Linked DNA regions of Notamacropus eugenii. The protein of the gene in region 1 interacts with the protein of each later gene in a biochemical or structural test. Links are inferred from orthologs where the notes say so. Each region holds a gene or a part of one and is shown on either strand. Other genes may lie near its edges. The genes, in order: LOX and ELN.

The links.
Region 2: the proteins of LOX (region 1) and ELN form a complex in vitro, tested with the Homo sapiens proteins (2 studies listed by BioGRID and IntAct). The link is inferred for Notamacropus eugenii from reciprocal best matches to the Homo sapiens genes LOX and ELN.

The regions. Positions count from the first base shown.
Region 1 is NC_092874.1:344,826,779-344,830,688, reverse strand, and holds the start of LOX (protein-lysine 6-oxidase), read left to right. Parts: upstream 1-1,234; 5' UTR 1,235-1,549; coding exon 1,550-2,267; intron 2,268-2,649; coding exon 2,650-2,758; intron 2,759-3,910. UniProt on the Homo sapiens protein: Responsible for the post-translational oxidative deamination of peptidyl lysine residues in precursors to fibrous collagen and elastin. Regulator of Ras expression. May play a role in tumor suppression. Plays a role in the aortic wall architecture.
Region 2 is NC_092873.1:49,376,886-49,380,795, reverse strand, and holds the start of ELN (elastin), read left to right. Parts: upstream 1-1,498; 5' UTR 1,499-1,617; coding exon 1,618-1,699; intron 1,700-3,910. UniProt on the Homo sapiens protein: Major structural protein of tissues such as aorta and nuchal ligament, which must expand rapidly and recover completely.

The DNA.
Region 1 (3,910 bases):
AGCAATGAATATGTGATATACAAACAAAAAGTCACCATTAAAATGAGTTATTTTTGAAATCTTATTTTAATCAATACTTTACAAGTATTCACCTTTTAGTGTCAATTTTCTTTTGAAGTTTCCAGCACTGCTAAAATATAAAAGTCATATGTGAGCAGGCACACTCCATTTGCCAACAAATTCCAGTCGGAATTATTGACCCTTCTTCCCATTCATCTTCCCACTAAAGACACTCCCTAGTTCTCAGGAAAATCTTGTGCGGTTTGGAGACTTTTCAGACAGAAATCCTGATGTCTCCTATTATTTATCATTGATACACTAATGGCATCGAACATTTAATAAATGGTCATAGAAATAAAAACAAATCCCTCCTCCTCTATGTAGAGGGAGGTGGGAGGGAAAGGAAATTTCAGTTCAGTTGTTAATTTACAGCCGAATTCTGAACAATTCCTATTTAACAACCTCTTCTAAGAAGCACTGTCAAGATGAAAGATGATTTTCCGCATTTCGATAAAAGTAGACCTTTGGGTTTAGTTTTTGAAACAGGGAGATGGGTTTATTTATTCTGGTTATGGATTTCAGAGTCAACTGCCCTTCTCCCATGTGAAAATTCACTTAGAAATTTCACTGCTGGATATGAATTTGTAACCAATTTCTCATGTTACCTACACACAGAAAAACAAAATTCGATAGCTCAGAGTTTACAGGATGAGAGGATTTCCCATAACTGAGAGCATATTGGGAAATATGCTTTGTTCCCCCTCCTGAGCAGGGAATTCTTAGCCAGAATATTTTCCCCAAAACATGTTCCCTCCACTCCCGTCGAGTCTAAGTCTTCCTACCTCCCCCTTTCCAGTCTTTCCTGTGTTTGATGACCTAATAGCATTTTTCCCTCTGCATACTTTGGCACACTCTCATGGTCTGGCTGCTTGAGTGTGTCTGAGTCCACTGAAATTCCTGCATGTTCGCCCAAGATTAAGATGTGGGTCGCGTGTGTCTCTAGCTGGATATGTATTCTTTTTTGTTCTTTCCCGTTAAAGAAACCTCTCTATGTGCAACGTGTCTTGGGGGGAGGTGGTTAGGAGGGAGGGGGCAGATGTGAGGAACTGTCAGACTTGCACGTTTCCAATCGCATTACGTGAACAAATAGCATAGGAGCAGCCCTGCCAAAAAACGCTTGTGTAACTTTGCAAATGTGCCAGAAAGTTTAAAATCTCGCATCCCTCCTCCTCCTTCCTTCACTCCAGACACCAGCAAAAGCAGGACGACGACGATGAGAGGCTGCCCGCTCGCTAGAACTCCTGCCCTTCTCCCCATCCTTCTTCTATAAACACTGGGAAAGGGGGGGCTCGGGGAAGACGCCACATCCGCGCTGTCTGTTTTGTTTTTTACAGTCTACACTCTATCTTGGGCGCTCCTTAGGTAGCTATTGAAATACGTCGATAGACGGTTTTTCCTTCCCTCACAAGTGACTTTTTTTCTCCTCCCTATTTTTATTTCCTGAAGCAACGCTTTTCGTGTCTGCGGAGATTAAAGGAGAGAGCAAGAGATGCATTTGCCTTCACCCGCCGTTGTCCTTGTTCGGTTCCATCTGTGTGTTCACTTGGGCTGCATTTTGCAAGTAGCCTGCCAGCAGCCCCGACGAGACCCTCCTCCCCCGGCTGGATGGAGGCAAAGGATTCAGTGGGAGAACAACGGGCAGGTGTTCAGCCTCCTGAGCCTGGGCTCTGAGTACCAGCCTCCGCGCCGGAGGGACCCGGCGGCTGGCTCCGCCGCTGGTGCCTCAGTTTCCTCGCTTCGCCAGTCGCCAGTACTGCTGCTCAGAGACAACAGCACTTCTCCGCGCTCTCGCCCGCTGCCGTCTGTGGGCGCTCTGGTCCACGACCGCACGAACCCCAGGAGGCAACCGGCTGCACGGCACTGGTTCCAGGCTGGTTATCAGCCCGGGTCTGCGCAACGGCACCAGGGCGGACCGTCGGCGTCCACCTCCCCGGCGGCCACTGCCCCCACCAGCAGGAGCCCCGGGGGCCGAGCGCCTGGTTCCAGCCCGGCTGCCCAGGACCGCGACCAGAGCCCAGCCGGTAGCCGCCCCACCCTAAGCAACCTCAGAGCTCCCAGCCGAGTGGATGGCATGGTGGGCGATGACCCCTACAACCCCTACAAGTACTCAGACGACAATCCCTATTACAACTACTATGACACTTACGAGAGGCCACGTCCGGGAAGCAGGTACAGACCTGGCTACGGCACTGGGTATTTCCAGTATGGTAAGTGACAATCACAAATAAGCTGACGTGCAAAAAAGTTCGAGATATCTCTCCCCTCCCCGCCCCCCGCCCTCACAAAAACAGTCCATACAGCAAAGACCCGACTCAGCCAGAACGCCGCACCCGTCCATAGAAGTCTCTCTGACCCTCACAAAAGACTGTCACATAACCACTTGCAAAAATTCCGTTACTTGTCTTTTCTTCCGCCCCCATCCCTCCTTCTACCTAGTCTCAATACAAGCAGGGGTGTTAGTGGAAAGGTCCCAGTTTGGGGAGGTAGGCTTTGGAGAAAAGAATGGGTAGGAAGGCTAGACAGGAAGCCGGGGTTAGTAACTGGGTTTTCAAGGTGGTGGATTTCTGATTATTTTTGGCCGACTTGTAGGTCTCCCCGACCTGGTGCCAGATCCCTACTACATTCAGGCGTCCACGTACGTGCAGAGGATGTCCATGTACAACTTGAGATGTGCTGCGGAGGAAAACTGTCTTGCCAGGTAGGGGCCGGGGTAGTCTCCTGACCCAAATACAGGCTCTCTTCTTCTCTGCGCTGCTTCTGTCCTCCCGGAGTCTTGTCGGTGGCAGCTGGGGGTCCTGGAAAGGTGGGAGATGGGAAGTGAAGAAGACAGGACAAGCTGGGGATGATGAGATGAAAGAGAATGCTTTTTTGTGGGCCCTAGCTCGTGATCCTTCCAACTGTTATGCAGAAGAAGAGTGTGGCTTGGATTAAGACTGTTTACGTCCTCCCGAATCTTTGGAGTCCCAGGCTTATGGTCAAGTTTCAAAAGCGATGGGGTCTTGTTGACATGATTAAAGAAAAAGAAATTGTACTTGACCTGATAAAAGAGCCCACACACTTACCATGGGAAGCAGCCATTCCTAGTGAAATTGAATAAACCATCTGTAATTTGACCCTCCAAACTACCCCCCCCCCAAAAAAAGTAATTATAGAGTATGTTAATGACCTCTTAGAAGACTTAAACGTATGTTTGCGACTGTGGTCTCATTTACTTGGCAATGGTTGTTTTTTTCCTCTTTTGGTCGTAGCTGTAATGAACATGTTCTGGTTTTACTTCAGCCAAGCTTGAAACTTTGCTTTTTCAACAGCTTTAAAATAAGGACCCTTAACTTGGAGAATAGGGTTTGATGTTGAACAGCCAATAGGGGGAGCCCAAGATGCTCTGGAAGGTGCCACCAAAAAAAAAAAAAAAAAGTTAACATTGAGAAGAAATTCCTTGGCACTTCAGAGAATGGTAACATACTCCAACACTAACCCAAAAATGTATTTGGAGTTGTAACTCTATAAAGTAGGGCAAGGCTTAAGAAGCTTAAAAATGTGCTTTTTTTAAACAGCATAGTGCAACCATTCTGTTTGTATTTCAGAAAAAAAGATAGAAATTAAGTTATAGAATACATTTGTACATAAAAACCAAATCTTTAGTCATGTTTTATATACCTCATAATTCTTATTTTTACTGGACCTGAATTTTATTACACAAATAGAAGGAGTTCCTGGAGAGGAACTTGTCTACCAAAGTAAGAAAGTACCAACAGCTACTGAAAAATTGTGACTTATGCAATGTCCCATAGCCAGTATATGTCAGAGGTTGCATTTAAACCTTAGTCCAGGGGTGGGGAACCTGTGGCCT
Region 2 (3,910 bases), on another chromosome or scaffold:
ACTTCTTCCCCAAACTATGAGGGTGGGATCATAGGATTAGAGTTTAAGGGCTAGAAGGGACCTCAGAGGCCATCTGGTGCATCCCATTTTACAGATGAAGAAACTGAGGCACAGGGAAGGTAGGTAGGTCATTTGCCCAAGGTCACACGGCTGGCGAGTATCCAAGGTGAGATCTGAACCCAGGTGCTCTGACTCTACAGCCAGTGCTTTTTCCACTGGGGGTTTTTTCTTCCTTTTTCTCCCCAGTCTACAAGTGATGTGGCTAAAGGATTCTGGCACCTGCTTTCTGGAGACTCTGCAAGGTCTTTAGCCCCAGGGGGAGGGAGGAGAGACCCCTAGGGATAGTCTGTGAGTTCAATCACTAATGCTGCACAGAGGCACTAAGCAGGGAGGGAATCCTACCTCTGAGACTTAGCATCTTGTAACCTTGGGCAAGTCAGTTCCCCTCTGTGTGCCTCAGTTTCCAAATCGGTAAAAATGAGGGGGTTGACCCAGATGGCTTTTAAGGTCCCTTCTAGCCTAAGATCCTGGATTCCCCTCTCCCTTAAGGCTGCTTGTGTCTGGACTTAGGACCAGATCCCTTTAAGCATGGCCACTGGGGCTGGCTCTAAGGACATCACTTTTCTGTAGACACCAGGATATCCTTCTTTCCCCCAACCCCATATCGTTCCCCTCTCCCTCAGTCACCCCATCATAGGATTCAGCAATGGAAAGGAGAATGGAGCTCATCTCATCCGATTCCTTCATTTTAAAGATGAGGAAATAGGCCCTGGGAAAGGAGCTATTTTCCTTCTCAAAGACAGACAGGTAATAAGTTTGCAGGGACAGGATTCAAACCCATGTTCTCTGAGTCCAAAGATATTGTCCCTTCCGTTCTCTCATGGTACTAGGTAGCAAAGAAAATGGGACCCTGAGGCTCCCTTTCCCCAAGGTCCCCCTCAGAGTATCTCTGCTTTTCCTAGGTCCCACCCCAAATCCCCCTCCCCAGCCAGGACAAGGAGACAAGAGGATTAAAGCGAGGGATAGGGTGGGCTGGAGTGGGGAGGGGGCTGAAAGGGGGCTAGGAATGGGGGGTGGGAGCTCCTCCCAGGCCTGAGGTGGCTGAAGTGGGGGTGTGGGGGGGGCCTTCAGGGCAGCTGGCCCTTGTCCCCGGGCTCTAGGCTTGGGGCCCAGTTGGGGCGGGGCGGGGCAGGGTGGGGCGGGCGCTGGGGCCTGGCCATCACGGGGCTTGGCTAGAGCCAGGGATTTTTGGCAAGGACTAGAGCCCTCCCCTTTCCTCTTGCTGAAGGCTGTTTTGGCAGCATCCCCCCCCTCCCCCCCCTGCTGCTTTCTGGCAGGGCCCTGGACAGGGCTGGAGAGAACAGCAAAAGAGAAAGGGGGGAAGCAAAGAAAGGAAAAAAACCCCAAATAGTCCAGTCTGGGGAGGTTTGTGTGTGTTGCCCTTTCGTAATTACGTCGTGTCCTGAGCTTCCCCCCCACCCCCCTCACCCCCCATCACACAGCCCCCCTCCCTTGTTCCTCCCCCTCCCTCTTTCCCTCACATCCCTTGTAGACAGCAATTAAGCATTGAGGATAAAACACACAGCCCGAGAGAGGGCTGAGGCTTTTCTCCCAGAGATGGCGAGTCGGACAGCTCTCTCCCTCCGGCCAGGAGTCTTCCTCCTCCTTCTCTCCATCCTTCACCCCACGAGGCAAGGAGGTAAGGGTACCCCCGATGGGATCAGCTCCCCAGTCCTGTCCTGATCTACACCATTACCATCCACGTTCTCCCTGTCCCATCCCCATCCCTACCCACCATCCCCATTCCACTCCCACTCTATCCCTCCCCTCTCTTCACAGTCCTGGGTCACCTATCAGAGAATCATCCATCTCTATTTCCCTATTTCTAGGGACTGGAGGGACAGGTGAGGTGTGTGTGTGTGTGTGTGAGAGAGAGAGAGAGAGAGAGAGAGAGAGAGAGAGAGAGAGAGAGAGAGAGAGAGAGAGAGAGAGAGAGAGAGAGAAAGGAGGAAAGGATGTAATGGGGCATCTCATGTATCACTGAGTTCTGTGCTCTGAACTCCGGGGATCCTCTCAAGGTATAGCCATCCTATGGATGTGCTTTCCTTGACCTGACTCTGGTGGGGAGTTCTCAGACAGAAAGACCCCACTGAGCAGAGGATGGGGTGCCACTAAAGTGAGGGAAGAGCTGCACAGTTATGCAGAAGCCTTCCACCTTGGGTTCCTAGAAAGGGCAGAGATACTAGAAGCACACCTCAGGGCAGGTGTCCAGCATCCTCTGTGTGAAGGCTGCCTCCTTCTCCTCCTCGGGATTATGAATCCCAGCCTGGAAGGGAAGGTCCTGGAAAGTTGCAGATTGGGGCTTGGGAGCACAGTGGACTTAGTCTGGGGAACCCCAAAGGCTTTGTCTCAGAATGGTGGGAAGCTAGAGCTGTGATCTTTCCTCCCAGGTTCTGTTTGGGGCTGGTGAAGAGTTTGCTCCAAGTTTAGTGGGCAATGTCTGCATGTCTGAGCAAAGGGTCCTAGATCTGGGTGTGTCCCCTCAGCAGGCAGTTTGGACACCTGCAAAGGGAGCACATGTGTGTACATGCCTGCTTGTGGCTAACAGGCAATTCTGCTAGGTGGGTGGGGTTAGGGGACCTGGACTGTAGTCCCACCCTAACATGCTACGTGACCTTAGGCAAATCCTTTCAGTTACCTGGATCATGGCTTTCCCCTCTGAAGGGGGAGGGGGGGTGCAATGAGAGGCACAGATGGTAAAGTGCCTCCCAAAGGTAGACTGGGAGGGACAGAAGCACTAAGCATATGTGACCATAGGGGAAGGTCTTCCTGGTCAGGCTTATGAGCTACGTGTGGCCAAATGGATGCCACTGGGCAGATAGATTGATTTAGGTGTTTCTGGCAAGGTACACGTGTGTGACACCAGGATGGGAGTGGGAAATGGCTGAATGTGTGACCCAGTACATGTCACTGAGCAAGTGTATATATATGTGCAACTGTGAAGACAGAACCAAACATACGCCACTGGGTAGATGCGTATCAATGAGCAGTTGTGGTATTTATGCGCATGTGTGCATGTCTATGTTCTTGCACAGATATCCATGTGTATGTGCATGTTATGGGAGCAGACATATGTGTGTGTTCCCGGGCAGATGTGCGTCTGTGTCTGAGTACATTCAGAAGATGAAAAATGTCATTATCTATCATATCAGCCTGATTGGGTGTGGAGGCTTGTCTGGCAGGGGAGAGGTGGAATCGTTGACCCTGATGGACAAGGAGCAGGGAAGGCATACAGAGTATCATGATGCTGTCTCCTCAGTCCTATGCAAGAAAGCAGAGGATACATCTGGTGTCCAGAAAATGTGAGCTAGAAATGGCAGGAATGCCATCGGATGCCCACAGAGGGGATCTGGTGACCAGCCCCTTGGTGGGGGGCAGAGGAGAGAGCCTTCCTGTTCAGGGAAGAAAGCACTGGAGTGGGATGAGAGAGGCCAGCAGGGAGATGAGACATCAAAATAGTCAGTCTCAGGTAGGCACACCAGACAGGGAGGAGTGGGGACCTGAGGGGAGATTACAGAGGGTCATGTGGACTTGGGGAAACTGAGAGAGAACAGGCCAGCTGAATCCAGCACCAGCCACATCAGCAGAGAGATCCATGTTTGCAGGAAAGCACTTGGGAGGCAGGAAGCAGAGGTGCCCAGCTGGAGCCCAGATGGGTTCCAGGAAGAATAGGAAGGCTGGGCATCCTCTTGGCTCGCTGTTGGCTCCTTTTCTGGGTTTCTCTGCTTTCTGCCTCTGGCCCTGCCCTGATCACCAAGAATGTTGGGTGAGATCGCTGTGGTACAGGAGGACATACCCACACCAGGAATGAAAGAATGATTAAAAGTTATAGGCTAGGAACAGGAGGGAG